4 linked regions of the Schizosaccharomyces pombe genome follow. The gene in region 4 interacts genetically with the main gene of each other region. Each region holds a gene or a part of one and is shown on either strand. Other genes may lie near its edges.

Evidence for each region.
Region 1: mutations in pfd2 (region 4) and mmp2 together harm fitness more than expected from each alone (negative genetic interaction), as found in Schizosaccharomyces pombe (one large-scale study listed by BioGRID).
Region 2: mutations in pfd2 (region 4) and mkt1 together harm fitness more than expected from each alone (negative genetic interaction), as found in Schizosaccharomyces pombe (one large-scale study listed by BioGRID).
Region 3: mutations in pfd2 (region 4) and sgt2 together harm fitness more than expected from each alone (negative genetic interaction), as found in Schizosaccharomyces pombe (one large-scale study listed by BioGRID).

The regions. Positions count from the first base shown.
Region 1 is NC_003423.3:2,762,292-2,767,446, forward strand, and holds mmp2 (endopeptidase catalytic subunit), read right to left. Parts: upstream 2,893-5,155; 5' UTR 2,706-2,892; coding exon 2,464-2,705; exon of another isoform or gene 2,392-2,463; coding exon 2,242-2,391; exon of another isoform or gene 2,175-2,241; coding exon 2,024-2,174; 3' UTR 1,838-2,023; downstream 1-1,837. Other genes in the region: DNA-binding transcription factor, MBF transcription factor complex subunit Cdc10, read right to left, coding at 1-1,299; PAN complex subunit Ppk26, read right to left, coding at 3,029-3,076, 3,183-3,260, 3,308-3,839, 3,920-4,145, 4,183-4,293, 4,339-4,488, 4,531-4,675, 4,715-4,810 and 2 more.
Region 2 is NC_003424.3:1,015,052-1,022,355, reverse strand, and holds mkt1 (post-transcriptional RNA stability regulator Mkt1), read left to right. Parts: upstream 1-3,302; 5' UTR 3,303-3,480; coding exon 3,481-3,487; exon of another isoform or gene 3,488-3,528; coding exon 3,529-5,626; intron 5,627-5,686; coding exon 5,687-5,990; 3' UTR 5,991-6,253; downstream 6,254-7,304. Other genes in the region: protein toe2, read right to left, coding at 1-439; oac1 (anion transporter), read left to right, coding at 1,782-2,744; dnf1 (P-type ATPase), read left to right, coding at 7,028-7,304.
Region 3 is NC_003424.3:3,626,648-3,631,839, reverse strand, and holds sgt2 (SGT2 family TPR repeat-containing protein), read left to right. Parts: upstream 1-2,884; 5' UTR 2,885-2,953; coding exon 2,954-3,056; exon of another isoform or gene 3,057-3,096; coding exon 3,097-3,717; exon of another isoform or gene 3,718-3,765; coding exon 3,766-3,995; 3' UTR 3,996-4,165; downstream 4,166-5,192. Other genes in the region: noc201 (Noc complex Noc2 family subunit), read right to left, coding at 1-304; DNA recombination mediator Swi2, read left to right, coding at 499-2,667; protein Rqc1, read right to left, coding at 4,296-5,192.
Region 4 is NC_003424.3:512,132-517,274, reverse strand, and holds pfd2 (prefoldin subunit 2), read right to left. Parts: upstream 3,474-5,143; 5' UTR 3,445-3,473; coding exon 3,417-3,444; intron 3,368-3,416; coding exon 3,277-3,367; exon of another isoform or gene 3,230-3,276; coding exon 3,106-3,229; exon of another isoform or gene 3,032-3,105; coding exon 2,930-3,031; 3' UTR 2,724-2,929; downstream 1-2,723. Other genes in the region: rna4 (Prp4 family U4/U5/U6 small nuclear ribonucleoprotein complex subunit), read right to left, coding at 28-1,379, 1,442-1,478; putative misfolded glycoprotein sensor Yos9, read left to right, coding at 1,667-1,741, 1,793-2,053, 2,193-2,723; fol3 (folylpolyglutamate synthase), read right to left, coding at 4,215-5,143.

The sequences.
Region 1 (5,155 bases), on a different chromosome or scaffold from region 4:
GTGATGAACGACGGTCCGTCCAGCTCGATCTGTACAGGGAAGAGATGCGTAAAGCAAGTCTAGTAAATCACCAAAAGAGTTCTGATTGAGATGATTGGTTACCAAAACCGATCTCATTAATGCCGTTTCTCCTGTGAGGTTGCCACGTAAAGGATTAGCTCCTTTATGTATTAAGGCTTGTAACAAAGGCATTTTGGCAACGGCTGCTGCCCAGTGCAGAGCGGCGTGTCCAAGTTCGTCAATGGGGACATCCAAATCTAATGAGTCCGACAGCTTTGCTTCTAAGGCGCTGGAATCAGCAAAGTTTACATCTAAAAAGATAGAGGTCAAAATGTCTTTTGATGTATGATAATCCTGCATAATATTCTGATCAAGTGGAGGAAGACTAGAAACCAAGGATACAAAAGAAAGTGAATGGTTCAACCTTGGCGTATCTGGAAACAATGAAGAGGCCTCATTATCATTTAACTGTGAGGAGGGATGTAAGTCTTCATCACTGACATCAATTCTATGCCGTTTTAAACGCTGTTCAAGGATAGGTGGAGAGGTGGAGAGGTAATTGTTAGAGCGTTTAACATTTTGGCTATCAATTTGAGTTAAAGGTAGTAAGAAAGAGGAAGAAGGTGAAGGTGAACTCTGCATATTGTTTATAGTGTGCACCCCATTCTTTGAAGACTTGCTAGGGTTTGAAAAATTATGATTCCTCAAAGGGGATCGCGTATTAAAAGAAGAAGTATTTAAATTTTTGGAGATTGAAGAACTTTCGATTTGTTGCTGCTTTGAAAATTTGGGGAATAAATCAAGATTAAAAGAAATTAATGGTTGTAAAATTTCATAAACCCCATATCGCTTTGCTATAGAAATTGCTCGATCATATGGAACCCATACTCCATCTATTTGAGGGTGTTTGGAGTCAACATTCTCATAGTCCCCACTCTCGATAATATCATCCAATTCTTTGGCGTTTTCAGATGACGAAGTACCAGCAAGTCGAAGTATTTGAGAGATATTAAAGTAAGAATCTGGACATCTTCGAAGAGCAACATTATCCCCACAGCTAAGCTCCATATATTTCATGCCTGAACATTCGACAGCATACAATTCTACGGGTCGGCCATCACGTAAAACTTGGGAGTTAATAAAAATCCTTGAACTAGAGTCTTTTAAAGTAGATGAATCGTTTAGTTTGTTTATATTTCTGTTTGAAAGGGGTTGTGATGGCTCATCCTCTGGGCGTTTTTGGTATGAAAAAGAATCGTTCCCCAGCTCAAACTGGCGAATAAAATTGGCTGAAGCCATTATAGTATATTAAAATAAAAAATGCCGAAAAAATATCGAATTTTTTATAAAGGGCAGCACGTTTTTCTCGAAAATAAGGGTGCTGAACTGACCATGAAAGAAGACTCGAGCTCCTCACCACTTGGTTTGTTTAAGAGATTGTGAATTCCTTTCTTTTTCAAATAAATAGAAGTAATTTTTTCGGATTTCGTGTTATACACAAATTCGCTCTGGGAAGGTTCACGCAGCTGTATACATTTGGTACGGCGTTAGACCGTATTCGAAGTAACGATATATGAGGCTTCCTAAGGAAAACAAAGGACTACTTCAATGTTCGTTTCTTCTGGGGGTTTTATTTAAAGGCTACTTAGAAATGGAATTCTTTCTCATTTCAAATACCCTGTTGAAAAATTTCCAACTTTGCTATACTCAACGACTTTACTGTTTCGGGATATGCAAAAGAGACGGATTTTTCAGTCAATTCTAATTTTCCCTAAATAAAAGTTTTGATGTTGAGTATGAAAAAATTATATTTTTTTATTGGTATTTCTAATACAAAGTAGCTTCCAACTTCCATCTTTTTCAAATAGGTAAATAGATAGACATATTAATGACGTCATATATAGAACGCGACGCGTCGAAATAAATTAAATTTAAGGATAACGTGTTCCTTAAAAGAAATGTAAATAAGCACCAACCAGCATGGAACTAAACTGTCAAGGAAACAGGTTCACTGTGGTGCAGCTTACTTAACAGAACGTTTTCCACTTAAAAACACTGCATTCTTTCGGAAACCTTCATGATCAATACGCCCTGCACGAGAGAAGGGAAACAAAATTGCAATCACTTTGGCAGTGATGAGTCCTGTCGATACTGGGCCAAATTTGTTACTATCACTGTAAACTAGTTAATATCTCTATAGAAGAAAACGAAAAAGTAAAAAAACAATTGTTGGAAACCTACATAGAATGAAATTGTTCATCGCCTTCGACCCACACATGTCCCTCGGGAACGGGTACTAATGACAACTTTTTAGGAGGTCTCGTTTTCATGATATCGTATTCTACTCCTAGAACTCTTTTTACCAATAGTTCCTCTGGGTTTTCTGGAGAGCTTGTTGCTTATTAGTAACGATAAAAAGGGAAACTCAGTACCGAAAGACCCTGCAACGATCCAAGAACTTACCGTAGTATAACTACATCTCCTCTTTTGTAATCCTTATTCCATTTCCAAAGTAGTACCCTATCTCTCTGCAGCATGTTTGTCTCAGGGTTAAAGGCTGGTTTCATAGATCTACCTTCAATTGTACCGACGCTGACTACATGTTGTTCAACGAACATTAATACGGGTACCCATAGGGTAATTCCGACTAAATTTTTAAAAAATACTGATTTAAAAGATTGATTTCGAACGAAAGGGTTTGCCATTTTTTGAGGACAACTGCTAAACTCTCTCCTCTAAGAAGTTTATGATTAACCGTCTGTATGTACCTTAACAAGCATGGGAGTTTCCGTAATTAATAATTAAACCAGGAAAACGTATTAATGAATTTTATCTGATAAGTGTCAGGCTTCTATTCCTGATCGTTTTTGTTTCAATACGGTGTGTTGCAGTAGGTAATTCAAAACCACATTAAGCTTAGCTTCCTTCTAATATTATTATAGCGAAAACTATTATTTACTTAAATTAACAACCATGGTAATAGATACAAAAAAACAAATAAATATTCTGTAAAGAAAAATGTTTTATTTTAAGAATTTATTTCCATTTCGTAAACGTTGTCCAACCAAGCTTTTAGCTACATTTGTTATTGTTAGTAATTTTGCAAACAAACAGGCTATATAGTGTGGAAAAGTAGTCTAATTTACTAAGCACCCACTATGGCTTTTTGAGCAAATACTTACCTCCCCATAAGAAACTGAAACACAATCAAGTTCATCTCGGGAAATTAATGCGATGGCTTGATTTATACCGGCATCAAGCTAATGAATTAATAAATGCAATAATGAGAAAAATGTAAAAAACTTACCTTTCCCAGGCGATTCAGCACTTGATATAAATCTATCACAGGACACTCATCTTCATCTATCTGATGGAAAAGATAATCTCGTAATAAGTAGATTAATGAAATTTCTTTTTCTCGTGCGATAGGATATTCACGAGAAGCTCTATTATTATCAATAATAAACATAATCTTGCACAAAATATTAAAAAATCGACCGTGTTGGAAAGCGTCCGAAATTTTTCTCTCCATTTTTTCGCATTCCACGTATGGTGAACTCATTATAGGGAAAAAACTTTCTATGTGATTTTGCAAAAACAACTCCAAGTTTTTATCCTCAGGAACTTCCGATACAAAGTATAAAACCGCTTTATAAAATTCCCTCGAATATGTACTATAAATTGCTCGTGCGGCTGAAGACATGTCCATATCAGTTCTTCCAGTAGCTAAATTCGCAATCACAACTCCAAGATCTACAAAATCCTGCTTCTTTCGTTCCTCTAATGGAGGCTTGTTTGACACTACCAATTCATAGTCAGCGCAACCACTAATACGAATCCTTTACACGTTAGTATAAGTCATTAATGAATTAAAGAAATGTATTCCATCAAAACATAAAAAATGTTCAAAAAAAAATACCTTTCAGTTTGATCCACAAGGATTCTCGACGGAGTAAGCTTGTTGCAAGCAAACCCGGATTTATGTAGATATGACAAAGCGATAGTAAGCTGGAAAAAATAATTCCATAACTCTCGTTCTGGAATTTTTCTATTTTCCTCCAACTTGACAGAATTTTTAGAATTGTTTAGGTAGAGCTCACCAAGGGTTGTAGTACACGGATAAAAATCATAAATTAATAGTAACGCTTGATTAATTAGTAAGGTTTAGTAAAATAAACTTACAAGAATCATGAAATGTATCAGTATGAAAAGCAGAATGGAATGGTACGATATTTGGATGAAAAACATTTTTAAGCTTGTCGACAGTCGACGTATCAATATTAATTGAACAGTCTTTTAAATATATTAGCAATTGCAATTTATGAATCTGAAGGTTACCTTGGAGTCGTTTCAAAACGTAAGCATTCCCATCGATGGAAGAAGTGCATTTGTACGTCCAAGAAGAGAATCCAATTTGCTCTTTATACCGATAAAGCTTTGTATTCAGTGGCGCCAAAGAAGTATATGAAGATATAATAGACGGAAGCGCTAAAATATTAGTATAAAGGAAGCTAGACACAAATTAAGTACCTGAAATTGTCTGACGGGATGCCTCGCTCTTTCTCTCGATTCTTTCTCTAGTCGTATCATCAATAAATAGACCGTTTACAGTTCTTTCATAAGGAAGTAAAGTTGGCATGGGAGAAGGTTGCGGATTATATAAATTGTACAATGTCTGTTGTTGTCAACAACAATAATAAGGCTTTAGACTTACGGGTTTAAACTGGTTTTGACGAGTATAATAAACCCCAGAGTCATCATGAAAAGGCTCATTGACCAACATAGATGCATTATTGTAAGGATTAATAGCCTAAAATTACAGTAAAATTAGTAAGAAAAATATAAGCTGTTAGCCAGACATACATGACTACCTGGTGAAAGCGCAACAGGGGTACGCTCTCTAGATAGAAAAAGAGATTTTTCTTGTGATTTAGGAACAAATACTGCAGCGCCAGCAGCCTTTACTGGTAAAGCGCGAACAGGTTGAAAAGAGGCCGACGCAGCATTCAGTTTTTTCTTACTAGCGAGGTTAATTATACGTACAAAGCCTTAAAAAAAATCATACACTGAGTATTGCTCCAAATTCTCTGAAGAAGGGATGAAAGGCTACAAACAATCGTAAGCAAGAAGCTTCTCTGAAGTTAAGAGAATACGC
Region 2 (7,304 bases), 500 kb from region 4:
GCCAGAGTACGTGTGAAGAGGACGAGTAGTTAGCATATTGTGATTTTGTATCATCTAATACTGAAAGAGAACCAATGTTTCGCTGTGTCTCAGCATCTGCCGAAGGCGTGGAAGGAAGATTATGAGATTGTTGGTTTTCATAATCAGATTGCGATTTAGTGCCGACCTCATTTAAACGTTTTTCCAGCATGCTAACTCGGGATAGTAACTGATCTATCAATTCGTCAGCTTCGCTACCCCGTTCAAAGCGCTTGTCATAATTAGTTTTCCCAGGATCTATATAAATACATGACTGGATTGTTGATCGCTTTAAGCAATTGGAACAAGGTCTTCCATGATCACATTTAAGTTTTTTTCTTCGACAAGCCAAACACGAATGGATCGCCCTACGTGATGTCTGCCCTGATTTTTTAGAACCAGACTTGGTTGTTTCACTCATATGCTCTTCTTAAACATCAAGTTATATAATATTGTGAAAGATAAAGTACAATTGAATGCTAGATTCTTCTAATTCTTGAATCAATAGACGTCAAAAAAATGATACTTGCGACCAATTGACAGGAGCGAAAAGAAGTTAATTCCGTAATATATAAAAAAGTAGTCTTGGCTTTAAATAGGCAAGAATTATATCTTTAAATCTTATTGCTATACTGATTTTGAACCAAAGACACTTGTGTTTGGATGTTGGCGAAAAGTAAATTCGTAACACCAAACACAAGGCACACTGGACAACTTTTATAAATATCCACTAATTTCAATAGTAAGCAATCTCAACAGCAGACAGCTTTCGGATAACATGCGTTAGATACGTAAAGCACTCAAATAGAAACATATAATTTACACAGGGATTTAATGCATTTACTAACAAATTACCATTCTTAAATATGACTGATTTCTATTTCAAAATTCAATTGCCTGCCTTGCGACAAACTATCCATCAAATTTAGTACTTGCATTTTTTTCATTGATCACAATTTATACCCCGTATGTATAAAATCTTACTAAAAGGCATCTTAATTGTCTGAGTAAGAACTTTGGTTAAGGGTAGACGGTTGAGAGCATGCACTTATTTGAATCACTTTATGGCATTTTCTTTATAATAGTACAACATTGCAGAAGTGAATGACATCTAAAGCTACTGCTACTATGATTTTGCATTTGTCTTACTTTAACATTATCTACCATGCGTTTCCAACGAATCCTATTTTAAAGTGTAAAGTCAGTTAAATGTTAACTGTGTGTACCTTCCTTCCTTCGAACGATCGCATTTATTGTTGACAAACATTACTCAAACTTTCAAATGACTTTTATTCAAAAAATTTTAAAATTCTACCAAATATTTGTAGGACAGAGAAAGAAAAAAAAAATATATATGATTGTAGGTAAATCCTTAATTTAAAGAGGTTAAGTGCGTTCTAGTATCTGTATTTTCAAATAGTAAACATAAGTAACATGTGACCTGTTTAATTTAGCATTAAAATGGAAAAAGTATAGAGCAATTAGGGTGCCTTGTAAATAAAAAAATTGCAATTCAATCTATAATTTTTTTATTAGTATCATTTTGCTTATTTTTTGAGTCCGTACGAAAGTTACGTTTTGCCTTCCCAAATTGCCGCAATGGTAAATTTTCCGCGCACAATTTAATCAAGGCTATTATCACTGAAAAAATCTCAACTGCAAGAATTCTTTTTCCTTCGGCCAACACTTGCTACGCAAATTGAATTGCCATTTGAGGCAGATTTTTTTGTTTAAATTCGAAGAAAAAATCCCAATATTAAGTCATGTCTGAGAAACAAACTATCAAAGCCCTTCCTGCACACAATCCTACTCAGGTGAAAAAACTTGGTCCCGTTAGTGGATTTTTGTCAGGTGGTCTTGCAGCTTGTGGTGCTGTAACACTGACAAATCCTTTCGAAGTTATTAAAACGCGTTTTCAACTTCAAGGTCAATTGACAAAATTGGATCCTTCTAAGCGAATTTACAAAAGCGTCGGTCAGGCATTTTCTCTAATCGCTAGACATGAAGGTATAAGAGGTCTTCAACGAGGCCTTGGTACTGCTTATGTTTATCAAATCTGCCTCAATGGCTGTCGTCTCGGGTTTTACGAACCGATTCGACGTACTCTGAATACGTGGTTCCTTGATGATCCCAAGGGTAATAAATTAGCTATTAACGTTGCAAGTGGCGCCGGTTCAGGTTTATGTGGTGCCTTGTTTGGCTCTCCCTTTTTCTTGGTTAAGACTCGCATGCAGTCGTATTCTCCTAAATTTCCCGTTGGCCAGCAGTATGGTTACAAGCATATATTTAATGCATTCAGTCGTATTATTAAGGAAAATGGTGTTAAGGGTTTGTTTGTTGGTGCTGATGCTGCCATTCTCCGTACTGTCTCTGGTTCCTCTGTTCAGCTTCCTATCTATAATTGGGCTAAACGCATGATTGAGCATTACAATCTATTGGAAGAGGGTATGATCAAACACTTAACTGCTAGTGCTGTTTCTGGATTTGGTGTATGCTGCACCATGCAAATTTTCGATACTGTTATGACTCGTATGTACAACCAAAAGAACAAGGAGCTTTATAAAAATCCGATTGATTGCATCCTTAAAACAATCCGCTCTGAAGGATTCTTTGCCTTATATAAGGGTTTTGGTGCTCACTTGGCCAGAATCGCTCCTCACACAATTTTCTGTCTTACCTTCGTGGAGCAAACCAATAAACTCTTTTTGAAATTCCAAAAGGATTAAGTTGTTTTTTCAAACGCACGTTTCTTTATTTATAAATAATTTTGGTACTAAACCATAAAAACCCCCAGTGGCTTTGGTGTATATCAAGTGAACAGTTAAATTGTAAAGAAATGATGTTTGTATCTAAGAACGATTTTTATTTACATTCGTTGTCTCGTTACTTATTTCCACTCTACTTTCATTTAAAAGTCGATTTTTCTTTTCAAGCTGTTTTTGATCAATCGGCATGTTTTTGTCTTTTGTAATATATATCCGTCAGTTATCTCAATATATGTACGTATTTGTTTTTGGATTTCAGGCATCTGGCTGCGTTTGTATATCAACTTACCTTTTATTTAGTTATTAATATACTTATTTTCTCTATAATTAAAGATTGGAAACATTACCGCTTTGTGTAGTCACAATGGATAAATTTCTTCATTTTGCGTCGTTTTTATTTGAAATCTTTACATTTCGCCAACAGTTATATGTTTTTTAGATAAATCATGTTAGTTTAATAAAATATTTTCTGAACTTCTTATCGTAGTATTCGTGTTCACTAATTTGCTCGTTCCTGCTGACTCTAATAAACGGATCGGACACCTCTATTCAGTACAACATAATAAAATCTGAATATATCCGTTACATATAAAAATAATCTGTTTGTTTTTAAGGATCTATTAAAGGTTTAGTAAAAAAAAACCGCCTTACGGTTTAAACTGCTGTTTGGTAAATTCAGTTAAAAAAAAGAAAAAAAATGACAAGTAAGTTAAAATACCTTGCTACTCATCTGCTAATTTTTTAGTTCGTTCATTGAATTTGTTTATCATAGACAAAAAGCATCAACATAAATCTAGCTTGAGCAGTTTTCAAAACTGTAAGTTGGGTATTGACGCAAGTTTTTACTTGACTCAAATTATTCATTCCTTTACCCCACAGGAACTTCAAAGTTTGGCAGTAAATGGTGAATCCGAATATCTACAACACAGAATTTCGGAATTCCTTGAGCAGTTGAGAACTGAGAATATCACACCCATTTTTGTTTTCAATGGTATACCTCTTACCTTTGAAGCCAGCAGCCAGCTGGAAGTGCCGGGAAAGCAAAAAAGTCATAGTGCATTGACAGATTTCGAAGCTTTTGATCCTTATGATGCAAATATTCAGCGTAATATGTACCGCATGGACGCAAGTGGTCCTGCGAATTACGGCGAAAGTAAACCAACACTTTTGTACACCAATCAGCGAGATCATTTAGATCGTCTTTGCGACCAGGTAAAGTTTTACTTAGATCAATGTAATGTGGAGTATTTTGTCGCCCCGTATCTGGCTATGGCTCAATTAGCATATTTTCTAAACGGCACATCTTCACCTTACATCGATGCCATCTATGGTTCCACGGATCTGCTTCTTTTTGGTGTTAAAAAATTTATTACTTCTATGAACACATCTTCTAACGTTAAAATCTCATCTGACCCTTCATCCCCATCAACTCAAACAACTATCAATTCGGCCGCTAAAAGTTCATTCACATGGTTAGATGGAAATGCCCTTCTTCAAGACACGAACGGCCTTTCATGGCAGCAGTTCATCGATTCCTGTTTATTGTGTGGTACTGCTATTTCTCCTACATTTCCTCAGATTGAGGGTACTTTTCTAATTAAAAGCGCAATGGAGCTTGTTCGTATGTTTGGTTCTGCGTATCGTGCAGTCCTTCATTTTGCTGAAATCTTTCCCCAGCCCATTTTTCAAGATTATCTTCAACAGTACAAAAGGGCTGTTTGTTTCTCTAAGTTTGGAATTGTGATGGATACAAAAGGTCTCACTTTACCACCAGTTCCCACAGAATCTGTTCCTAACGACATAAATATATATTTTGGCACCCGTCTTCCCAACGAGATTTATTTTTACATTTCTCGCGGTCTTATTCCTTGCAAAATGATAGGTGCTTTAGTATCTGGATGTTTTAGTGATCCTGTTTCCATACTTGAACAACATATTGGTGACAAAGCATCACAAGGAACATTTTCTGGTGCTAATTCTGGTTTAAATCCTGGTCGCGACAATGCAGCAGCTGTAGCGGCTGTGGATCAACGGCGATTTGTTGACGATTTAGAAGAAATATGGTCGCAGGGGCTAAATTTATTGACCCAACCGCTTAACAGATTTTACCAAGCCAGAGATATTGTTTCCCTTCATGGCCATAATCAGCAAGCTTCTTTGAAGGTAATGCACAGCTATGATCCTCCTTTGTATAATGATACGAGAGCATGGATGATATACGAAGAAAACTTACCGAGTTATTTATCTAGTAATTTTTTAAAGGAAGAACCCGTTGTATTATTTGATCTACTACGTGCTTTGAACGATCCGGTATTTGTAAAGAAAAGCTTTTGCACTGAAGGTAATATTGGCATAAAAAACCCTCCCAAGCATCCTCTGTCTTCTACTGCGGAAATCGTCTTAAGTTCTTGCTACAGATTTTTGCAAATTAGATCTTTCGTTTTAACATCTCATCAATTAACATCTTGGGGATGCCCCTTGTTAAAAGCGTTGGAAAATTGTCACTTACAGAACCAAACTTCCGTTGTTGTTTTATTCGAGCTTCTTAGACTAAGACAATTAAAAGAGCCCTCTTTACTTTCCTCCTCAAGTGCAAGCATCGCCGATTTATCCATAACTTCTGCCACAGAGTTCTTGGCAAAGGTTGCAACATTTCTACCAATAAAACAGAGACCTGAAGTTAGTAAAATTTCTATAGTTGATGAGAATTTATTACAGTTTTATCAGCTACAAACTAGCTTCGGATCCAACTTGAAGGAACTCATGGCCATGATTCTTGCCTCGGTCATCTTGAACAGAAACGTCGACAAAAGCAAAATAGATCCTAAACTTATCCGAAAAACGTACGTGTTTTTTTCTCTTTCTCCTTTTTTGTTTATATTTAAAGTTTCTAACCAATTTAGCTTACCTTTTCAAAACATAAATGGTAGCCTTGTCTCAGGTTTTGTTGTCAAGCGCTTTTTTGAAATCATTTCAAAAGAGCAAGAAGCCAGTTCTCAACAGGAAAACATCCAGAAGGCTTATGAAATAATAGAAAAGGAATTCCCAACCATTGGATCTGCGGAAAACCATATTGCCCAGTTTTTGGAATTCTGGAAAACTTTTATGGAAGGGGTTAAGGAAGCAGAAAATACAAGTGCCATTGGCAAGCTCGTTTTAAGTAAACTCTTCCTTACTAACCAATGGATATTTTCTCTTGGCTTATGAAGACCAGAACTAGTAGTTTATGAATAGAAATAAATTAGTGAGAGAAGTATCCTTCTTTTAGCGGGAGCTTTTAACACATTCGGCACAGTCATAATGCACATTTACATGAATTACTTTCCCTCATACTGTCGAAGCATTTTCAACATGCTATACACTCATGTGATTACACTTGATTATTGTTGAGATATTATTTCGAACAAGTAAAGTATTGTTAATATTAATATTCAACTACATTGTTTCTTCCCGAAAAAAGGAAGGGAAAGAAAAATAGAGAAGCACAGCTTTGAATGAAAACCCAATGATGTTTAAACTTTTTTATAGATATAGTTTAATTTGTTCTAAAGGATACTATATTTATTTTTAGCAATACACTTACCTGTCAAAAAATAACTTATACCGTTGTTTTTACACTATAGTATGGGAATAATTTTTAACTTATTTGATAAGTTCAAGCGGATTTTTTAGATTTTAGTTTATGTGTACTGGCTCACTCACAAAAAACCGAATTCGCATCAGAAACATAATTTTACCTAATCAATTTCACGAATTAAAAACCTTGTGCTTACAGAAAGACTTGCTTAGTTTAACCACTTACAAGCTGGATAGTATAATTTTGTTTTAAGATATTTACTGTATAGATGCTGTTTACGACAACTTGCTAGCTTTGAGAATCTCCAATTCTCACACTAACATCTAATAATATTTGTCGATAGTTAACAAAATTCTGACAATGTCAGTTTTTAAATATAAACGGTAGTAGTTGAAGTAACTGACAGTTAATCAAAATCTCTGTAACTTATTGTTTACATTGCATATTGCGAGACTTGACACACTATTTAGAAAGTCTTAAGCAAGCGTAAGCCATTACTGTGGAGTTCATTAAGCTTAACTTTAATGAACTGCTATTAGTGTAGTCTCATTTTGTAAGGCGTAGCACAATGTCCCGTGTGGTTCAGCAAGCTACCATCAAATAATAGTTTGATTTTCCATTTGGTGTGAATCTAGCAACAACCAACATTATTTGTTCAGATGCACTTATGAAGTCTAGTGGTATCGCAGGCGATTCCAATGGATTTGAAACAAATTTTCTAAATGAAACGACTAATCGAGAAGAAGATGGTGCATTTAATTGGAACGCTGCAGATGATGGCACTAACGAACGAAGAGAGGATATTCATGTACGATTTCAGGATAGCGCTCTTCCATTAGGAATTGATGAAAATGAGCTTGATGAAATTGATATAAATGGGGACAGCAAAAAATTGGATTCTGTTGAAGTTGACGAATCACACGATGTTAATTCGCCATCAGATA
Region 3 (5,192 bases), 3.1 Mb from region 4:
CATTTGGCAAATTTTTTCTTTTTCTTGAGGAACCTGCATCATTCGAATTCGCAGAGTCTAATTCTTCAAATCCGCCTTCCAAAAAAGCATCCATTGACATGGAGTCATCTTCAGAAGGGGTGTCTTCGCTATTCACGTTTTGAATAAACTTTTCTACGTCTCTTTTCAATGTTTCATCTTTTCCCTCCTTTTTAGAATGCTTTTGTCGTATGCCTTTATCAGTGTCTTTCTTTTTTATTTTGTCATTCTTTTTAGCCAAAGCATTAGCTTTTCTGGCTTTTATAATGGAAGATAACTTCACCATGTGTGGTATGTGCACAGAGGTTGTTAGAATACCTCCTTCAAGAATTAGTGCCCACCATACTCAGTCCAAATTTCTTCACAATTTCCACACCAAAGATATGTCCTTAATAATCATACTCCGGCAAATTTATTAAATGTATATTGCTTTGAACAGAATTTTGCTTTTTGAGAATCGTGAGAAACCTTATAGGCCTTATGAATGTGAACAAAAAGCAGGAGTCGATACCAGTAAACACCGGATCTGAAAGTATTTCCTCTAACGACAATGAAAGGTTTGAGCAAGGAAAGGGCGTCGGCTCAAACCTTGGATCCCATTTCTTTGAGCCGGTAGAATACTATTATTCTGATGGTAAACCGATGAATCAAACAGAAGCAAGCCAGATGAAGGGAACCTTTTCTAGAGATTTTTCTTTAAATGAAATGAATAATGAATTTATCACAGATTCTTTCTTTTGTACAACGACTCCTGATCCAAAAACTGAATCTCCCTCTTTTGTGAAATACAATGCCCATTGTGATGACCACCCAGAGATTAGCGGCCATGTGTCCTCGAATGATAAAGACTTTGCATACTTTGAAGATAAATCTGAAAATCAACCACTGGTTACTCTTCCTAACGAGAATAATCAGGTTATTGAACCGTTAAGCTCACAAAGTTGTAAATCTCAATTATCAACCCAAAATTATTCGGAAAGTGATTTTGGTTGGAACCAGCTGTGTGATCTCGATCCTATATTTAAATCTTTGGCTTTTACAGACGATACTAATCTATTCCCTGCATTTGCAGACTCTGAAGCCGCACTGATTATGCTGAAGAAAAGAGAAATGACGAGAGTGAAGCATAGGGCAGGAAGGCCAAGAAAGTATTCGTATGTTAATAAAGATTTGAACTTCGAGGAAGGATTGCCAAGAAGAAGGGGAAGACCTACAGGCTGGAGGAAGTATCCTGAAAAGGAGGAAATATATCCTACTCTGTCTCCAAGGATTAAGAAACCGAGAAAAGTTTTCGATGCTGTAGTCATTCCGGTTACCATAAAACCTAGTATATATACAGAGCCCTCGTTACCTCATCATATCGATTGGAACAATGGTTGTTCTGAGGAATTTGATTTTGAGCCATCAAGAGAGGATGAAGACTTCCCTGATTTAACTTCTGATTCTACTGGTCAAGATCCATTGTCTAGTGAGCCGACTATTTTTGACATTTCTCCATTACCTAGTGATATGGAGCCAACTTTTTCCGAAAATTCATTAATTACCATTAACAAAATGGCAATAGAAGAACGGAAACAATCACGTCGACTTGAGCAACCACTAGCTGAATCTCAACATCAAGAAGATTTGTTGAATCCCTACGGTGTAGATCAAGACTTTGATGAAACTTGCATCAATGAGTCTGAACAACAAGCCACGCATATTCCTAATTCAAGTATTAAATTTAACTATGATTACACTCCCCCTAAGTCTGCTACCTCCCATAAGCATAAGAGGGTCGATCTTCTAGCATCTCGGAAGGAGAATGTTTGGACTGGATTGTATGGGAAAGTACAAACTGAAATGGTTTCCAACAGAGGCGAAGCTGTGTTGAATGAAAATAATAGCAAAAATCGTACTAATGTCACTAAGCCGAATTCATACAAAAACAGTGTTTTATCAATTGGGAATAATCATTCAAACCATTCTAATATTATTAAACCGAACACCTATAAAAATACTATTTTGTCCAATGAGAACAATACTCCAAACTATTCTAATGTCTGTCTTTCTACCTCTTTGATAAATCGAAGCCTTCCATCTCTTAAATCTACTATGCACCCAGGGGTCAACAAAGATTTAATTACGCGGCCATTTAAGAATGTTAATAAAATGTCTGTACGAAAGGCTCTCATTAAACCATTTCATCCTCCGATTTCGAAGATTTCGCGAACCCGCTTAACTGTTTCCTCACCTGAACGGCTGTATTGTGCCAAGCCTATCTCAATGGCTACTGCTCCAAGTGAAACGGATAGCAAACTAATTAACAGAATCCGTAACCTTGAATTAGAAATTGGTGGCTTGAAAGAACAATTATCCGTTGTAGAGCTCGCTCTTGACACTGACAAAAATTCTAAACAGATACAGGTGGTTGAAAGAAAAATCCAAAATTGGCGAAAATCTGCGCAATTAGCAGTCGAAGTGCTATTTCCTGTTTTTTCTTTGAAGTTTACAACCATGCTTCAAGAAGTTCCACAGTCTGTTTTACGCACATCAGCTAATGATTTACGCACCAAGCCATGTTCCATTGGTACGTACCTTGAACAGTTGCAAATACCCTTCCATCTCCTTCAATATAATTCTGAGACAGAAAGCTGGGACCTGGAATAATATATGTTTTTAGTTTTTTCTTTGCTTCCTGTCTGTTGTTTCTATCTATTTTTGTTTTTTTTTGTCATATCAGTATTTTACAGTTCATGATTCACATTAAAGGTACTATAGTTATCTAATGTTATTTTAATAGCAATATAATTAGGAATCAAAAATTCATTTTATTATTTGCATGTTTACGTATATAAAAATCTATAACGGCGCTTGGAATAATTTTGCCCTTCGCGCATCTCACGATATACTTTCAGTAATACGAAAAAAATCGGTTCTTAAAACGATTAGGAAAATGAGCTCTAACAAAGTTACTGCGGCTATTATTGACTATTTGAAGCAAGCTATTACCACCGGTTCGATTTCTGAAGAAGAAAAGGAAAGCTTGGAGGTTGCTGGTATGTGTAACCCCATTTAAGATAATCTAACCAAAATCAGCTCAATGTATTCAAGATTCTTTTAAAATCAAACCAGAAGAAATTAAGCCCAAGTCAGGGGATCGTTTAGTTGCTGCTTTTGAGGAGTACGAAAAACTGCATCCAGTGGAGGAGGATTCCACTGCTCATGTTAATAAAGAAGAGGCTGAGAAATTAAAACTTGAAGGAAATAATGCCATTGCGGCAAAGGATTATCAAAAAGCTTTGGATTTATACACTAAAGCCATAGAAATCGATCCTACCTCTCCAGTTTACTACTCCAATCGTGCAGCCGCGTATAATCAGCTAGGGCAATTCGAAAATGCTGTAGAAGATGCTTTAACATGCTTAAGTTTAGATCCTCATCATGCTCGAGCCTTTGGACGACTTGGTCGTGCCAAATTGTCACTTGGCGATGCAGCAGCGGCAGCTGATGCTTATAAGAAGGGCTTAGACTTTGATCCCAATAATGAGGTTTTAAAGAGAGGTTTGGAAGCTGCTAACAAGCAATTGAATCAACCATCGGATTCATCCGCTACTTCTGGAGCTGACCAAGCTCGCACTTCTGCTGGTGCCGCTCCTGATCTTGGATCCATTTTTGGAGGAGGTATGCCTGATTTAGGTTCTTTGATGAACAATCCTGGTAAGTTTTTTAGTGTATACATTATTCATTGTTAATAAGTGATTTTAGCTGTTATGAACATGGCGCGTAACTTGATGCAATCGGGTGCTTTGAATAATATTATGAATGACCCTAATATTGCCAACATGGCCCGTAACTTTCAATCTGGAGGAGGTATGCCTGACTTGAGTTCTCTTGCCAATAACCCCCAACTGCAAAATTTGGCTCGCAATTTTATGAACAATAACAATAATGGCAACACTGATAACAATAACCAAGGAAATCCTCCCCCTCAATAAAGTATAGGTGTATATTGATTTGTTTGTTTTTGCTTTTCATTCAAGCAGTTTATATCTTGCATTTAAATTCATTTTGAATACTTGAAGAATTGCTTTGACATTTTTTAGTACCTTGCATATACAATCATTCTGCTAATCAATCATATTGTACATGTTTGTTAAGATTACCGTATTTACAGTAGCGTTTGCATCGTTTTTCGTATTATTTTTAAATAGTTCATCTAATTTTTATTGATAATTTTACAATAGCTTTCGTTGTATGAAAATAAGGACTTCATTAAACAATTCTTTTGAAATAATTCAATCCCCTTGACCCATCTCTTCTGTGCTTTCTTCTGCAGGTTCCGTCTCTGAGTTTGTTGATGTAAACAAGCTTCCAAAAAATGAACGTAGTCGGGTCATCACCGGAGTTCCATCTTCTGATTCTTCACCAACCTCCGATTCAATCTGTTGTAGCAATTGTTCAGCAGGAGGAAGATCAAACTCATGAGCAGGGGGTTCTTCCTCATTTTCATTAACTTCTCTTGCTCTGGATAAATAATCGGACAAGAACGACGCAATTCGACGAGATATATCTCTACCAAAGACTTGTGACTCGCTTAAATATGTATCAGGAGGTAGAGGATCAAAGGATAAAATAGTTCCTTGCAAGATTCTCTGTGGTAGAAATTTTCTCAAGCTTTGCTCATTTAACAGGATAACACGCCTAGAGAGATTTTCAGTGAGTTCTGCGAATTGTCCTTCTACATCGTGCAGGGTCACGGTTTCTTTTTCAAGAATGGAATTAATGAATGCTAATACCGTAGGATCAGACCAGCTATCCTTAGCATATAAAGCATACATAGCAGAATGTAACTCTTGAACTGGATCTTGAGGGGATGGAATAGAGGATTTTGTGAAAGAGATATTCAAAGTGTCCAACAATTCACTTAGCATGTAAGGTGCACGTTCAAAGGCGGCAAGCATACTCGCTCGTGTGTCGGTAGTATCACCATGTACGTAAAACATGGCAAGTGCTGACGAATATAACATATTTGGCGTGTCCGAAATTTTGTTTGAATTTTCCAGGTAATTCGCAAAATCAATTATCCAAGCAAATTCTCTTCGACGAAGTGCATATATATCAATACAAGTACCAATTGCGTAGGGGTCTGACATGTCGAACTGCAGTAAAGCTTTACAAAACTCAAAGACGGT
Region 4 (5,143 bases):
TACCAAAACCGTTTGCCACACCCAAATTTAAGGGTACCATAACTTGATTGTACGATCGTATCCTGATGAGATAAATCTGTCTCCGTAACCGTCAACACTCATAACCTTTTCTTCGTGTCCCACCATACTTTTAATCAATGAGCAGTTCAACGGGTTCCAAAGCTTTACGCAGCCATCATAACCACTCGTAGCGATGAATCTGTTAACACCTGATTCAATATAACGAACGTCTGAAACAAGAGAAGAATGTGCGGGAATAGTATGTGCCAATGACACTTTCCGCAAGTCCCATATTTTCACAGTATCATCGGCTGAAGAAGTTGCAAGTTGGTAGCCGTTTGGACTCCAAGCCATCGCGACAATTTGACGAATATGTTCATCTAATACCATTATTGATTTGCCTGATCGAAGATCCCAAATCCGACCGATAGCATCATTACCACCTGAGCTAACTAACGACCCATCTGGCTGACAGGCGATTGAAAAAATCCCTTCCGAATGACCTTCTTGCATAAGCAACTCAACGCCTGTATGTACATCCCATAACCGCCATGTAGTGTCGAATGAGGCAGAAACTAAGTAATCACCACTTGGATGAAAAGCAACTCGACCAACACGAGCCAAATGTCCTTCCAAACGTAACAGTGGAGTAGATTGACTTGCTTTCCACAAACAAACAGTATTGTCTGCGGCTCCAGTCGCTAAAGTCAGCTGCTCAGAATCTGCATCCCATGCCTGACATAGAGGATACCAATCCAAACCAGAAACTCGGTCGGTATGGCCGCGAAACAATTGAACCTCTGAGAGGTTATCAGAATTCCACACCTTGACCTGGCCACCCCAGCTTCCGCTAGCAAAATGATTTCCATTATTACTGAATCTAACAATGGCTATTGGTCGCTCACCACCTATCTGAGAGCCCATCAATTCAGCCTTTTGTAAATGTTCGATTGAAGACTTTCCGGAAAGTACAATTTCAGGTACTGGAATCTCGGAAATTTCCCGTTCTTTTTTTAATCTGAGCTTTGCCTTTTCCAAGGAGTAAAGAGCTATTTTTTTACGAGCAACTAATAGTTCGTGACTTCCTTGAACATACGTCTCCTTCTCAATATTTTCAGAAGCCCCTTGGTCTACATCTAATGGATTGTCTCCTTCTAGGGACTTTTCGATCATTAATTGCTGAAGCCTTTGGCGTCGGGCTAAGGCATCTTCACCAAAATAAGTTATGGGTTCACCATAACGACGCAGATATTCACGAACTTTGGAATCTTCATAAGGAATTTTAAGAGCCTTAATGCGATCCTTTTCCTTTTGCTCCGCGTAATAAGCTGCTTGTTCTTTTGTAAACCGCGTTATCCCTTCTGAAAACGGTCTTGTTTCTAAAGTTTTTTATTAGTTTAAAATTTAAAAGGAGGAGTTAATGCTTCTAGTAGCAACGTACCTAATTCACCAAGTGAAATGCCCTCGTTTTCATTCATGTTAACAATCTCGTGTAACACTTACCTCTAATGTAAACTACTATTTTTTACGCACTATCGTATTTAGCTTTTTGTAAATTGTTCGAGCTTTGCGCACTTCGGTATACTGTGATATAACGCATATGTTCAGTTCAAGTATGTTTCCACATTTGATTCTACCTGCAATCGGCTCATCTAAAGTTAGGACTATGGTGCTACCATTTGCTTTTGTGGGGTTTTTTATTTTTCCAATATGTTTAGCTTCTTTGTTAGACTGGAATGATGTATGCTCTTGAACCTAATTTCTCTTCAATTCTAACGGACTTCCTTTGTAGGCATATGAATATCCTAAATATTCGTTTGAATGGAGTAATGTGTCAATATTAGAGGGCGACATTGACTCAATTAAAGAAAAAACTGAAAAAACTAAATTATCGTCATTATTCTATGCTGGAAAGCATGAATATTTTTGTGTATATCCCAATGCGTCTCTTATAAAACAAAATAGCACAACCGAACCAAGCTATGATTTACAAGAATTGCGGATACAAGGGACTGAAAAAATCAATGAGCTTGCTAATGTATTTTTAATCGAGGTACGAGTTCTAATTGTTTTATTTGTCTTAAACAAACCAACTTTACTAAAAGGTCATTATTTGACATGTCCATAAAAATTTTAGAATTAATGACTACTTTTAGTACATGTAGTGTTTTTCAAGCTAATCATTGTATTAGAATCGTGGTTATTGGACTTATGACTATGTCTACGGTCAACACGTGCGTCAATATCATTTGGAGCCGCAGCAAGGTTCTGACAAAGTCCTTGCTAACCCTATGTATATACTTGGTACGGCACCTAACACTCAAACTAAAAAGAATTTGGAAGAAAATTGGGCTATTGGATTTGTTGAAGGTAAAGCATATTTGCAAACAACTTTCCGAAATGGGACTATGTGCGACATTACTAAGAGACCAAGACACGTAATTCTAAGTTATGAATGCAGTACAAATTCGGATACTCCTGAAATTACTCAATATCAAGAAGTTTCAAGCTGTGCATATTCAATGACTATTCACGTTCCCGGTTTATGCTCATTACCTGCTTTCAAAATTCAAGAGGACATACCCTCTGAAAAAATTGTGTGCTATAATGTAATTAAAGAAAAATCAAACGAAGTCGACCATAAGGATTCCCAGCACGTTGTTGATGAAGTTGCTCAAACATCTCCGCCTGAGGTGAAGGAGGTAGAGACGCAATCAAGTTAGTTCTACCTAACTTACTACATGTATTAAGTCTACGGTTTAAGTGAAACTCTAATAACATAAAGTGATGATATTTGATGACACAAATACTCTTGGATTCTATCCCTGTTCCTCTGTTTAGGAAAAAAATGTTAAACCGAAGATAAAGCACTTGAAAAACAGTCGGCGTGTCAATGAACGCAACTGCGCAATTAATGGAGTCATCTGTATTATTGTCTAACGACTTGAATTTTATTGTCTTTTTGAAACTTTTGGAATTCTGCTTCGAGCTGCTTATACTGGTCGAGCAAACCATTCATGGCTGTTTGAATCTAATATTTTGATTAGTACATCAAGACCAAAAATTCATCTGACAATAAAGGGTCAAAATAAAAAAATTCCTTACCCCTTCTTGAGTAGTTTTAAGGATAGGCACAACAGTTCCCACCGTTCTCTCCACTAGCACTCCATGGATCATTCGAAAACAACGTCGATTATTATCCATGGAGTTTAATGTGTCCATAACAAGTCTTTTTAGTTAGGTATTTAATTTAAAAATTTTTTATGTATCACATACTTATGTTCGTCAGCATCGGTTTCCAAATCGACAATCTTCTGCGCAATTTGTTGTAACCGAGACTTATATGAATTGTACTGCGTCTGTAGAACTGGAACTGGTCAACTATTTTGTATTTTAAACTCATCCACAGTACATACTCTGCTGCCGAGAAGGTTGTTCAGCCATTCTGCTTTTTTGTATACTCAAAAAATGTTGGTGGATTATACATGTTATATCTAAAACGTATACGAATTTTAGTGCGTAGCAATCATTGTTGCTGTAATGATAGATAACAAGCGCTATGGATTACGGTAAATCTGTAATTAATTAGACTCTGAGTATAATTTTAAAACAGTAATTAAATGTTTGTGTATTTTAAAATTAATGTAATAGTTAAACTATATTAGTCTAATTTTTAAATGCCTATCATTTGCACTATACGTATATCAACTTGATTAGCTCAACCTGTGAGATAGAAGGGTATATTTTTTTAACGATTTCAGCGTTTTACTTATTTTATTGCAGTTACGACAGTATTTAATAATAATTAAAAGAAAGGCGGAATCTTTCAATGTGCTAAATATGCTTCAGTTATCCCACCTTATCTTGTAAGAATTGTAAATCAAGATCTAGTCACATAATGAAAATAATATCTGTTTTATTAAGGCTGCAGGCAGAGCGCACCAAGTATTTAAACTAATGTATTCGTAATCTATAAGTCAATTTCTAACTCAATATCTTAACTCACACCAAAAACCCATCAAAGCTTAATATAAATCTTTTATCTTTTTTCTATTAACCTGATAGCATCATTCAAGCTTCTTTGAAAGTAAATTTTAGTTTTTAAGTCATGGAACAAAATTCTCTAGAGCACAATTCATCACTCTGTGACAATTCATATGATAAATTTGTCAAACAAGGAAAAACGTATGAAAGTAAACAGCACGATTTAGAGGCTATACGTCCAGTTTTAAATAACGATACATGTCTCCTAGAAGATAAAGACTACCGCATACAATTACGCTGGAATTCTTCTCTTTTGCCAGTCTTAAAATTTCGCTTATTGTTAGATTATCTGCAGTATAGCATTCCACAGAAGATTCCGAAGATATACTGTTTTTTATAACTTCAGGTTCCATTGATTTAATCCAGGGCATCCCACTTACTGAAGAAAAATTTGTCGCTATAACGGTATCTCCTTTACGAAGAAGGATTTTCATAATCCCAGTAACGTCTTTTGTGTTAGTGAAAGCTACTACCCATGATACTGATTTATTGTGCTCACGTCTTTGCGAATTTACAAATTTCGCAAGCTCAATCGCAGCTTCTTTATTGTGTGCTCCGTCAAATAAAATATCACCCAAAGAAGGAACCGAACGAATGTCAAGCCTTCCAGGCCAAGATGTATTTTTTACACCATTTTGTACATGGGGAAGCATAATTGAAAATGACGAAGAAAGGATATCGAGAGCAGTTACTGCACAAGCCAAATTTTGTCCTTGATAATCCCCCTTCAATGGAGTACTAAAAGTATTGGTTCCCCAATTTGGAGTATTGATGATCCACTCATTTTTGTTTTCACCTGATTTTCCTTTTGCCAAATAAAACGGATGTGCCCTCGTTTCCTCTGCACTTAATTTTAATTGATTTAGGACGTTAACTTCATTTAACCCATCAACCACGCACGGAACATTCTTTTTAAAGATCCCAGCCTTTTCTTTAGCAATAGCCTCTAAGGTATTTCCTAAAAATGCTTGATGGTCCAAGCAAATACGTGAAATTATTGAAAGAACTGGTTCTTCAAATACATTAGTAGCATCCAAACGACCACCCATTCCTGTTTCAATTACAGCCACACGAACACCTGAATGATGAAAACATTGGA